Linked DNA regions of Daphnia pulex. The protein of the gene in region 3 interacts with the protein of the main gene of each other region in a biochemical or structural test. Links are inferred from orthologs where the notes say so. Each region holds a gene or a part of one and is shown on either strand. Other genes may lie near its edges.

Evidence for each region.
Region 1: the proteins of ubiquitin-conjugating enzyme E2 N (region 3) and E3 ubiquitin-protein ligase Arkadia-like form a complex in vitro, tested with the Homo sapiens proteins (4 studies listed by BioGRID). The link is inferred for Daphnia pulex from reciprocal best matches to the Homo sapiens genes UBE2N and RNF111.
Region 2: of the proteins of ubiquitin-conjugating enzyme E2 N (region 3) and ubiquitin-like modifier-activating enzyme 1, one has a biochemical effect on the other in vitro, tested with the Homo sapiens proteins (10 studies listed by BioGRID, with this or other methods). The link is inferred for Daphnia pulex from reciprocal best matches to the Homo sapiens genes UBE2N and UBA1.

The regions. Positions count from the first base shown.
Region 1 is NC_060024.1:8,994,934-8,999,001, reverse strand, and holds the start of E3 ubiquitin-protein ligase Arkadia-like, read left to right. Parts: upstream 1-1,268; 5' UTR 1,269-1,429; intron 1,430-1,492; 5' UTR 1,493-1,581; coding exon 1,582-4,068. Other genes in the region: SAFB-like transcription modulator, read left to right, coding at 1-251; UDP-N-acetylglucosamine transferase subunit ALG13 homolog, read right to left, coding at 332-751, 817-924. UniProt on the Homo sapiens protein: E3 ubiquitin-protein ligase. Required for mesoderm patterning during embryonic development. Acts as an enhancer of the transcriptional responses of the SMAD2/SMAD3 effectors, which are activated downstream of BMP.
Region 2 is NC_060018.1:5,974,030-5,978,103, forward strand, and holds the start of ubiquitin-like modifier-activating enzyme 1, read right to left. Parts: upstream 2,801-4,074; 5' UTR 2,653-2,800; exon of another isoform or gene 2,507-2,652; intron 2,401-2,506; 5' UTR 2,381-2,400; coding exon 1,004-2,380; intron 943-1,003; coding exon 859-942; intron 788-858; coding exon 368-787; intron 284-367; coding exon 1-283. Other genes in the region: polynucleotide 5'-hydroxyl-kinase nol9-like, read left to right, coding at 3,161-4,074. UniProt on the Homo sapiens protein: Catalyzes the first step in ubiquitin conjugation to mark cellular proteins for degradation through the ubiquitin-proteasome system.
Region 3 is NC_060019.1:11,513,182-11,516,373, forward strand, and holds ubiquitin-conjugating enzyme E2 N, read left to right. Parts: upstream 1-1,234; 5' UTR 1,235-1,431; coding exon 1,432-1,461; intron 1,462-1,589; coding exon 1,590-1,680; intron 1,681-1,753; coding exon 1,754-1,909; intron 1,910-2,146; coding exon 2,147-2,328; 3' UTR 2,329-2,692; downstream 2,693-3,192. Other genes in the region: protein AAR2 homolog, read right to left, coding at 1-30, 94-210, 274-389, 483-649. UniProt on the Homo sapiens protein: The UBE2V1-UBE2N and UBE2V2-UBE2N heterodimers catalyze the synthesis of non-canonical 'Lys-63'-linked polyubiquitin chains. This type of polyubiquitination does not lead to protein degradation by the proteasome.

The DNA.
Region 1 (4,068 bases), on a different chromosome or scaffold from region 3:
ACACCAGCTGGTCTGGCAACGGAAGTACGCAACAAGATCGCTGGAGCGCATCGTCATCCTCGTTAATGCCTGTCGGAAGGTCAATGGCGTCGTCTGGATCATTTAATAACAACTGGACTGGATCAGCTCCCCCTCTTAGTGGATCCGCGCAATATAATCCAGCGACAGGAAACATAGGGAGTCTTAACAACCCTGTTATCGGGCAGTCTGGATCCGTTGGCTATTCGGCAGATCGTTATTCGCGACACTAACTTTATCGCATCATATCCAACCGTTTTTTTTTTTCAACTTAGACGTTTACAATGTATGAAATCAATACACAAATTGAACTTTATTTTTGAAATCCCATCAATTTTTCAAGGTAGGCTGAGAATGCAACTGGATTATTTCTAGGAAATTTCTGGAGTTTAGTAGTTCTAAAATCAACAATGGTAGTTTTTAAGGTTTCTGGATAGCACATATAAACATGTCCTTCAGAATGTAACTTCTCAGCAAGTTCTAGCTGGTGATTGCCCATCAGCTTCTGGTTAACCACAACAATTAATGGCTTTGCTACACTGAGGGCCTCAAGACAACTGCCAGCACCAGCATGTGAAATGATTAGGGAGGCTTTTTCCATATCAGAAGAAATGTTTTCTTTAAAATGATAACAAGATATTTGTATTCTTCGTGAAATAGGAATTGGAGGTTCAACACCAAGTCCAATTTGCAGAACAAGATGTGTGTACCCATCATCTTCCAAAATCTGATGCTCAAATTTTATACATTATTATTTACTAGGAAAAATGTGTAATGCAACGTAAATATCGAACATACCTCTAACGTGTTTGGATGCAAAACTTGAGTTATTAATTCGTCAAACTGGGTAGTCCCTACAGTAACAAAAACGATTTTACTTCCCGATTCTTTATGTGTCACACTCATTTCGAACGACAGCAATACTAGTATTTCAGTTCACTTATGGACATTCCCCACAAAAAATTCTCAACTTGTTTACGAAATTGTGATATTTATTATTCAAAAAAACGAATAACTAATCTGTCAGAATGTCAGTCAGCCAGTCAGGCAAAAGGAAAAGAGACGATGACAGTTTTGTTCATATTTTTTTAAATATTATTGAATGAACTCTAAAATTACGTAAACTTTATTAATTTAGAAATTCTTAACTCATAAATGTAATTATTTTTAAGTTATTTAATGAATCATTTCATCATTCAAACTTACAACCAAAAATAAGTAAAAAAATCGATGTTGACCGAAATATTGGCACTTGGCAGCACCGTTGGCACTTGTTTACAGCAAAGACAATTGTCTCATCAGCTGTCCTTAACTGGAAAGAAAGGGTTTTGTACTTGATTGGCGTGACTCTTTGCCCTTTACCGAGTTTTCATACAGGATTACTGTTAAGTTTGTTTTTCAGTCTTTAATGGTAAGTCAAACTAATCTTAATTTTAATGACAAATGGTTTCATTATATAAACATATTTCATCAGGTGGTGTAGGGAGGAAAACGTCATCGTCTTTTCTTCCCTTGGGAGCATCTTGCCTCGAGCCGTCTCTATCGAGTGAGTTGTTATCAATAATGGGTGACGAACAAGCTGGCCCGTCTAGAAAAAATACAATGGACACTGAAAGATCCAATAGCTCGGGAACAAATAGTAGCAAGTCAGCAACAGAAAATGTTCCGAAACAAACATCACTTTCAGCAGAAGAAACAAACAATCACTTGGCATTTGGAAATGGAAGGACTAATCCGCCCAGAACACCTAGTAGGAATTGCCCTTCTATTGATGGTGAATGTCCATCAGGCCATTTTGATGAAGAGGATTTGGACATGCCAGAATTAGAAACTCCCAGCCCTGTCTTGATGCCGTCACAGCTGCTCTCACCCCCAGTTGCACTCCACTATGATGAAACTTTGCCATTGACTCTTCAAATGCCAACAAGTATTAATGTCAGTGTTAACTTGCAACCTTCAGTGTACAGTCTGTCTGGACCACCAGATCCTGTATTCCTTGACGACAGTATGGAGAGTGGGGAGAGAGAGATCACTATCACTCGAAATCCTTATTTCGATCCCTCTCTCTCACCTGGCCCAGTCGACGAGTTTCTTTCTCTTGCCTCCTTCAGTAGCCACGTCGATGGCTTTCACTTTGGACTGGAGGAGGCACCAGCACCTCCCCATTGGGCCAACAGTAACCGCGTAGAATCTTTTCCTCCAGCTGCTGCTTCTGCTGTAGCAGCATCATCTTCATCATCTGATGTCCGCCGAAAAAGACCGAATACAACTCAACAGGATTCAAATTGCAACGCATCGAAGTCCAAAAAACAAGCCGAGACTTCTGGTGGAGAACCTGTACCCGGTCCATCGGGTATCGGAGTTGCAAGAACGGTAACTGGCGATGATGGCCCAGTTGCTGATGATCTACAATTAGAATGTCTGACTGACGGTTCCTCCTCTGCTACCGAATCAGACATTGACGATGACGATAGTTGCATCGAAGTAGTAAGCGTCCGACCTGGTCTATTGCGTTCTCAGCATCAACCCGAAGTCGTAGATCTTACCATTTCAGAAGACGAAACGTCGACTCCCAATCCTTCTACATCGTCGGGCTATTCTCGTTCTACTGGGAGACAGCCCAAACCATCGTCGTCTGTAAAGTCAAGAGCTATACCTAAAGCAGAGCCTCCAATGGCACCAATACCGGTTGTGATTGAAGAGAACAATCAGCCAGACGCTGAAGTAAGACGAGCATCGCCGGCCTTTGTGTCCGTTACTCCATCGTCCTCTGCAGGAAACCGCCCAGGTGCTTGGTGCGGATGTCCAGGGCAGTTTTACGTGGACGGAGGACGGCCCACGCCCATGGGTGTAGCTTGGCCAAACAATGGTAATCCAATACGAGCACATTACATTCCTAATCAGTCTCTTCGACCATCTCCGCTAGCTCATCATGCCACTGCCTTTTCGTATACACCACCACCGCCAGCTTATCACCATCCTCCACCACCGCCAGTTCTGACTCTACGTTTGCCGTCAACCGTTCAAACCCACGGTGGAGCTCGTTCGCCCGTCTGGTGGAGTTATCCAAGTATGGCCGTTGAAACAGTAGCCACTCCGTCACCTCAACACGTAGCAGGAGATGGATCTTCTAATCAGGCTGCGGCCATTCCACTGCAACCCAGTCAGCTGGTTGAAGCCACTTCTGTCGCTCAACCTGCACCCGTTTTCGTTCCTCAAACAACTGGTATTTACCATGCGGCCCCCACTTCACGACCCGTGGACGGACGTTGTACGATGCCGCCTGCCATTGCTCGAAGCTTCATGCGTATCCATCCCATTCACCAGAGGATTTGGCATTCACAGCACCGCTCGCAAGAAGCTCTTCGACGTCATATGGACATGGCACAACGTGTCGCAGCTGGAGAAACCGTCGAAGTTAGCGGTCCGTCATCGATTCCGGATTCTCCGATGATGAGTCAAGGCATTCAAAATCAACAACAACCCACTGGTTTCTCTGGTCCGCCTCCTCCATATCATCCAGTTGCACTGGAGCGCAACAGCAGTCCTTCGCCACAATTCAGAACTGTTCACGCTCCCGATTTGAGTAGCCACATGATGCCGGCCGTTCAAGCTGAAATTGTCGTTGAAAGTTCTCCTGTCAATTTAGATCCTCGCCATCACCATTTGCCTCCTCCTCCTGCCTATGCTTTTGCTCCGTCTTACCACCACCACATTGCCCATTTCAGTCTGCCTGGCAATTTGCATATCAGTATAGGTCCAGGACCAGCCATCCCGCCCGCAGTACCACCACCACCACCTCGAACCGTACCAATGGAACGCGTTCCACCACCTGCCATGCCCGGTGTTCAAGGTGCCGCAGCAGTCGAAATCCAACCAGCCCATCAGCAGGAGCAACCTTACCACCGTGGCTACCCGTTGTACATTCACCACCAGCAGCACGGTCACCACCACCATCCTCCACCACCATTGATCCCACTGGGCAACAGTCCATTCTTGAGCGGATCACCACATCACTACCCATTTTTACGTCCTTCAACGCGTTTGGAA
Region 2 (4,074 bases), on a different chromosome or scaffold from region 3:
GTTCCTGCCAATGGAGGCGAGCCCATTGAACACACTGCTCAAAATTCTTCGGACGTTCCTCAACTAAGCTGCGGTGGACGGCCTCGACTATCTCGAGTGGTTGAGATCCTGTTAGCTTTAGTGTTCTCTCCATGAATTTAGAATCAACTAAATATTGAGCAGCGCTCTCTGCTGATTGCCGGAACAACCCTTCGAACATATCCCGAGCCCATTGCAGTGTGTGTTCAATGGCATTAGGAAAATTCTTCAGCGTACAGATAGGAATTGATTTTTCCGGAGGATCCTATAAGTTTAAGAAGAAAGTTGATTAATTACAATAAACCAGAAAACTAGCATAAAAGAAAAAATAAATAATAAGCTATATTACTTGAGACGAACTATATGACTCCGTTAGATGGGGGATAACAACTTGAACGTTTCCTTTGGTACCCAGAGTTCCAGATTCGAGCAAGGGCTTGTGGTAATAGACGCAGCGCCTATCCATGTAGATACGGGCATCCACGTTGTCGAGGGCATTAGCAACGCCATCCAATTTCGAAAAAAAATCGTCATCAAAGAACTGCTCCGTTTCGGGACCGACGCGATTCTCGAAGGCTGTAACGTTGGCCTGAGGGTTCATCACCTTCACGGCAGCGGCCGCCGAACTGGATTTGGGTTTCTGTACGTCATGCGACCGGAAAAGAAACTGCCTGTTCAGATTGGACTTTTCAATCAAGTCCATGTCTGTTACGAAGACTTGGCCCCCTTCACCAGCACCAACTCCAATCATGGCAAAATTTTTGAGAAGCTAACAAATAGAATATATTTTTTAATTAATAAAATCTACAGAAAATTTATTACAAAAACTTTGATAATTACCTCACAACCGATAGCTCCAGCTCCCACAATGAAGTAACGTAGGGATCCAAGCTTTTTCTGGAATTCATTGCCAAACACTGCCACCTGAAAATGTAAAAAAATAAAATGCATAACTGATGAAAAACAAAAATAAATATTTCAATACCTGTCCATCATATCTGGATCCAGTAAGCTTACAGTTTTCTTCGGTCAACGAATCTTGGTTATCTGGCAGACACTCGGTGGCATCGAAGTATAGCCATTGAACAATGGGAGAAAACTTTTCGCTACACGCCTTCATAACTTCTTGAGCGACAACCCCGCCGAGAGTGGCGTTTAAGGGGTTCAAATCTCCTTGACATACATGGGAGAAGGTGGCCAGTAACTTTTCGTCAACTTCTTCAACTTTAGATGAGCCACTTAGACCGCTGTTTAACTCTTTAGCTAAATCCACAAACTGTTGACTGTCTTTACGGCTCCAAGGAGTTGGCAATCGTCCCTCCTTCTTGACGTAGGCGTCCAATGTCCTGAATGCTAGATGGATTTGGGGAGGCCGATCAAATTTGCCGAAATCTGTCATCACGAATTCTGGTTCTTCGAGAGCGTCAGCCAACGGTTTGAAGTGGATTTGCTTAGGCATTTTCACTTGGGTAACCACTCCTCCACGTACATAGTCGCTGAAAGCGCTCGTGTCACCAATGCTAAAGGTGTATGGTCCAAGTACTTTGATCTTCTTGGGTTCGCAACCATTCAGCTCAACCATGCCCTGTACCTCAGAGAAGGTAACACAGTCGCCATCTTCCAATCCGTGCCGGGTCTCATCCAAGCAAGTAACAACACTTGCTTCTTCTTTAGACACTCCAGCAATCATAGCAGAAACGGGATTTTCTCCAGTAGTATCGATGATGGTGAAATCTTCCCCAAAGTCACAGAAGACTTGGGCAAACAGACCTTGTGTTTTAGAGACGATGAGAGCATTGCCGAAGCTACGAACGATCTCAGAAACCCGAAGTTGCTCTTCAAGACTTGAATTAGTTAAAACTACAACTCGGTATTTCTTCAAGAATTCTTTGTTCAACTCTCCTGTATAAGTTTCTACTGGGACATACTGGTTGAGTTCGGCCAGGCTCTTGTGAGAAACTTCAGCTCTGTTCTTTCCCAGATCTGCTTCCGATACATAAAACTGGGAAGAAAGGTCAGAGGCTTTGCAAATTGAGTTGTCATGAAGGGTGACGGACTTCACACCTCCCAAGATGATATTCTTAGCAATTTCCACTCCAAGGCCTCCAAGACCGGAAATCAGGACATCAGAAGTTGCCATCCTCTGCATAGCTTCATGGCCCAATACGTAAAGTTGTCTGGAATAAAGACCCTCATCGATGGTGTGGATGTTGCCATTTCCTGCCATTTTCGGTTGCTGCTGAACTTCTTTTAAATGGTGATTGCTACCGTTACTGCTGTTCCCGTTATTTTCTTCCAACTTCCTTTTCTTTGCAGCAGGACTGGGAGACGAGGGTGACGGATCCACCTCAGCAGTGGACATCTAAAAATTAAACTCAATACCTTGGGCAACACGAGCGTCACAATGGGTGCTAACAAACCAGTTTTCTTACTTTAATATAAAAAAAATTACGGTAAGTTTCAAACTCCGAACGATTGGAATACTCACTTAGACTATTCCAACGAAGGGAGAATTATGAACAATTACGACAAAATGCCGGCGAATTTGCACACCAGGATTGGAACGAAAGATAGCCAAACTGAAAGAATGACGAGCAAGAGAGCAACAGAAAGTCAGTCAGTAATTACCAGTACTTTCTATGAACTCGAAAGTGCTGCGTGCTGCCACCTTTCTCCCACCGATGACTCGACGTAGATATGGGGAAATGGCGGGTATCAGCTGATGCAAGTAAGTCCTTGTACCGGCAATTCCCTATTCCTACTAAAATCCAAAGTAAAAATGTCTGTAATCAACGAGTAAGGTGGCGCAATAGTCGACTTTTTTATTAGCCGATTATTAAATAGAGTGATGATGATGACAAAGAAAGTACGCGTAATAATAGTTACATTTCCCGCCGACAATTTGATCGCTGAATTAAAGAGCATCTGGCAACTTGAGCGTTATAGCTTACAGTTTTACACGTGCTTGGATTGAAAATTCGGCTGCTTAAAAATACTGTAAAATCTGCATTTTTTAAAATAAAATATAACAATAGGATCTAATCAGGTATAATTGAATATTATTAAAATAGCTTACTAAAATAAAAACTCAAACCAAAATTTTCTTGAAGATTCATTAAGCCTCCACGAAGATTTGACAAATATGAAGAAACTCTCAACCAAAAAAACGAAGACTGCTTCTTCTTCAAGAAAAAGCAACACAAACGATAGTTCTGACTCAACAAATATGGCAGAGAAAAAATTGTCATTTGTCAGTCATTTGCTTTCAGCCAAAAGTGTCTATGATTCCTTAAAAAATGGACAGACCAAACCAACTTCGAAAAGATCAAAACTTAAAAAAAAAACTTCACGAAAGAACAAAACATCATCCAAATTAAATGTAGACAACAGTTCAACCATTAATCAAAGTGTGTCGGTGACTGGCATTGGTGCCTTAAAACTTAAATTAAAGGAGAGCAACATTTCTGATGAAGATAATTCATTCCAATCCTCTCCCAATGAGGATGATTCTTTTTTAACAGCAGAAAAAGAAGGTATTGAAGAAACCTTTGCTATGGATGAGGAATCAAGTTCTTTGCAAGCAGTCTACCAAACTCTGGATACATTTGATTTCCTTCTAATTAATCCCAATGAAGTTCTAGCATTCATCCCATTTCAGACATGTTTTTACTTCAAAGGACGTCTTAGTTTGACATGTCTTAGTGGGATTGCCGAGATGCAAGGCTTTTCTATTGAGCAGAATTTAAGTAAAACATACCATGTTTTTTCTCCTAGAGGATACAGTCTGCAGTGCATCCGTTCAGTCGGAAAAAGCAATACGTCTTTTAATGCAAGCCGCGCTCACGCTCTCTTGAAGTCTGCTGGGTTGACGTGTGAAGAAAATCTTTTGAAGAAAAAGAGCTCTGAAAATGTCTTGCTTATTTTGCGTTCCCTTAACTTTGGAATGATTGATTACATCAGCCGTATTTTCCCCATCAACATCCTCAAGAAAGAAGAGTGCGTTCCTCCAGAATCTAATTATTGGAGAGATGAAAATCGCAACCTATTTGGCAAACT
Region 3 (3,192 bases):
GAAGGGGTTCCACTTTCCCAACTACATCAGCTAAATATTAATTGTTAGACATTTTATTTTTGTACAGATTACATAATGTATAAGAAAATATACTTGTCAATTTACTGCTGAGAGACATCCATTTCTTCCAGGTATCAAATGGATATGGACCCAAGTGCTGATCAAGATTTTTTAAATTGGCTTTTAAACTTTCTCTTTCTTCATCAGTACCTATTATGGATAAACACTAAATAATAAATTAATATTAAATAATGATTTATAAAATAAAATTACAATCGTTGATGACATCTTCTATTTCTGGGTTCCACTTACGGACCACAACTTCCTTCTTATTGAAGTTGTAAAAGAAACCTGTTCTTGGCGCTACGGAACCTTCCTTGCTTACAGAGCTAGAAATTATATAAAAATATACAATCACATTTTGTACCTCACAGTGAATGTTACACTCACACAACTGTTCTAACAAAAAATAACTTATTTGCCTGTAATAAATATAGTGAATTCCAGGGGGTATCATTTTTATGCCTTTGAATTTTTCGCCGGTTCTCCAACTGTTGAAATCTATTCCTACTTCAGTCCCAATTGGTACGCCAAGAAGAAATAAAAACGCGCCCTCTTCAAATAATTTGTTAGCCAATTTTTGATCCATTCTTTCCGTGTTTGACACTTGATGGTTTATATTTTAAAACAGAATGAAGCTGAGTGAATGAAACCACGCAAAAGCAATGAACGAACAATACTAGCAGACGACAGTTTAAAAACAAACAACATGGAGGTCAGACGTCAGATCAGTACCGGATGCCGACTTGCCGAGTTAAATTCTAGCAATTTTGCATAAAAAAAGGGAATAAAATTAACATGAAGAAGGATAGGAGAAGAAAGTGATAAAATAAAAAATTTTATGTGTTGAAGCCTGCCATTCAATCTTAATCATGCCTTATTAGTTAATTTGCCCTTTTTCAATTTATTTCAACTTTCAAGTCGAAATTCTTTCTAGATGATTCATGAAAATAATTAAAATATTCCGCAAACAGAACAGCCAATTAATCTAACCAAAAAATTTTTACTGGTCATTTTCTACGGTTCTGAAATAAAGGTTTAAACTCATTTCCGGCATTTGAAAAGCAATACCTTTTGTTTAGCTTTCTCGTGTATTTCCGTTTGTAAACCAATTCAAATAAACTTTGTTCATTTTAAATAAATCGTCTTAATTTGAAAAATAATATGTTTATATGTCTAATTCTTCCCGTGTGGCCGGGTCGATCTCCTACCGATTTTCGTCACCAAACAATTTGACAACGTCTTAAATTAGCAATAGGGCACTCGTATAGCGTGAAAACTTTCCGTCTTCTCTATTTGGCTTTAAAGTTACCATCTATTATACGAAAATCTTATTTTATACTCGTTGTTTGTTCAACAAATTGATGCGAAATGGCAGGCTTACCTAGAAGGATAATCAAGGTAACACAAATCTTAATTGTAGACTTGCATCAAAGTGGGAGGCAACGTGTTTTTTTCTCCCGATCCTATTATGGGACCGGTAGTATTCTCTAGCAATATAGTATATTCGTCATTAATTTGATCAATAGGAAACTCAACGTTTGATGGCTGAGCCTGTCCCAGGCATTAGTGCAGTTCCAGATGAACAAAATGCTCGTTATTTCCATGTTGTGGTTGCAGGTCTGTAAACTTAAATTGCAACCTTAAAGTGTCATTCTGGTACTGACTAGTTCATATTGATTAAAATTCATAGGTCCAGAAGGTTCTCCATTTGAAGGTGGTGTTTTCAAATTGGAACTATTTTTGCCTGAAGAGTACCCAATGTCTGCACCTAAAGTGCGATTCATGACAAAGATTTATCACCCTAATATTGATAAACTTGGCCGAATTTGTCTTGATATTCTGAAAGGTGATTATTTTTATTACTTTAGTGTTTGCTCTATCAAGATTGTCAAGTGTTATGTGTTCTATGCATGTATAATCTTGTGTTTTGGTTATCAGGGTATACCTGTATTGTTATGACATTTGTGCTTTGAATTTTTAAGTAACTGGGGAAAAAATCAGTTTTAACTTCAGAAAGTTGCATTTGCTTGAAAAACTTAAGTGTGTGGATTTGGCTTTGTTTAATATTTTCTAATATTTTCAGATAAATGGAGTCCAGCTTTGCAAATTCGGACAGTGCTGTTGTCGATTCAAGCTCTATTGAGTGCGCCCAATCCCGATGATCCATTGGCCAATGATGTTGCTGAGTTGTGGAAAGTCAACGAGGTAGAAGCTATTCGTAATGCTCGAGAATGGACCAGAACTTATGCTATGGGAAACATATGAAACCTGGATCTGTGGAAGGAAAAAGAGTAAAATTGTCAATCCGTTACCGAGAAATTGTGTTTGAATTTAGATTATTTTGCTTTCTTTTGTTCCTCGTCCATCAGCCTTTGTCGACTGATTCCCCTCCCTTCAATTGGTTGAACTGTCCCCGATGGTGATCAGCCAAAAAACTACATTTTGCTCGTTCTTATATCCCAATCTTCTTTTGTTTGCTCGTCAAAAGTTCTATCGACGGTTCATTCCAATTCACGCGTCGTTAAAATGATCGTCGATAGCCTACACTTTTTACCGTTTAGTACCACGAGTACCTCAAAAGGATACTAAAGAATAATAAAAATGCCGTCACCCGTGGAAGTCTAGAGTATCAAATTGTACAGCTGTGTATTTACTTGTCGTGGATGAGGAGGGTGAAATTATAAAGACGGATGAGAGCGCACATTTATCACGAAACGAAAACCATCCACTCGACAGACATAATCAATTTTTTACCAAATCTTCCCCGACCTCTTCGCACCGTTCAGATGAGGTAGGTTCAAACCGAAAAAGGGAAGCGAATATTGGTACTGAGATCCGATCAGAAACAGGAATTCCCAACACTCAAAAATAATCTCCAACATTATGGAATTTCGTGGTTACAAAAAAAAAAAAGGGAAAAACTTTGAATCCAGAATAGTTATAGACAACTGCCTCTTGGTTTTTCATGTATAGTTTTCGGTTTGGACGTCTGTCGCTCCAGTTCTATCTCACTGAAATTCGGTTGGGACCAAATTATAGCCTTTATAGATATTTAAAAATTATATACTTCTTGGCAGTTGAGAAAAGATCGGTATGGGGTCAATTGGGTGCGCAAACAAATACAGTTCA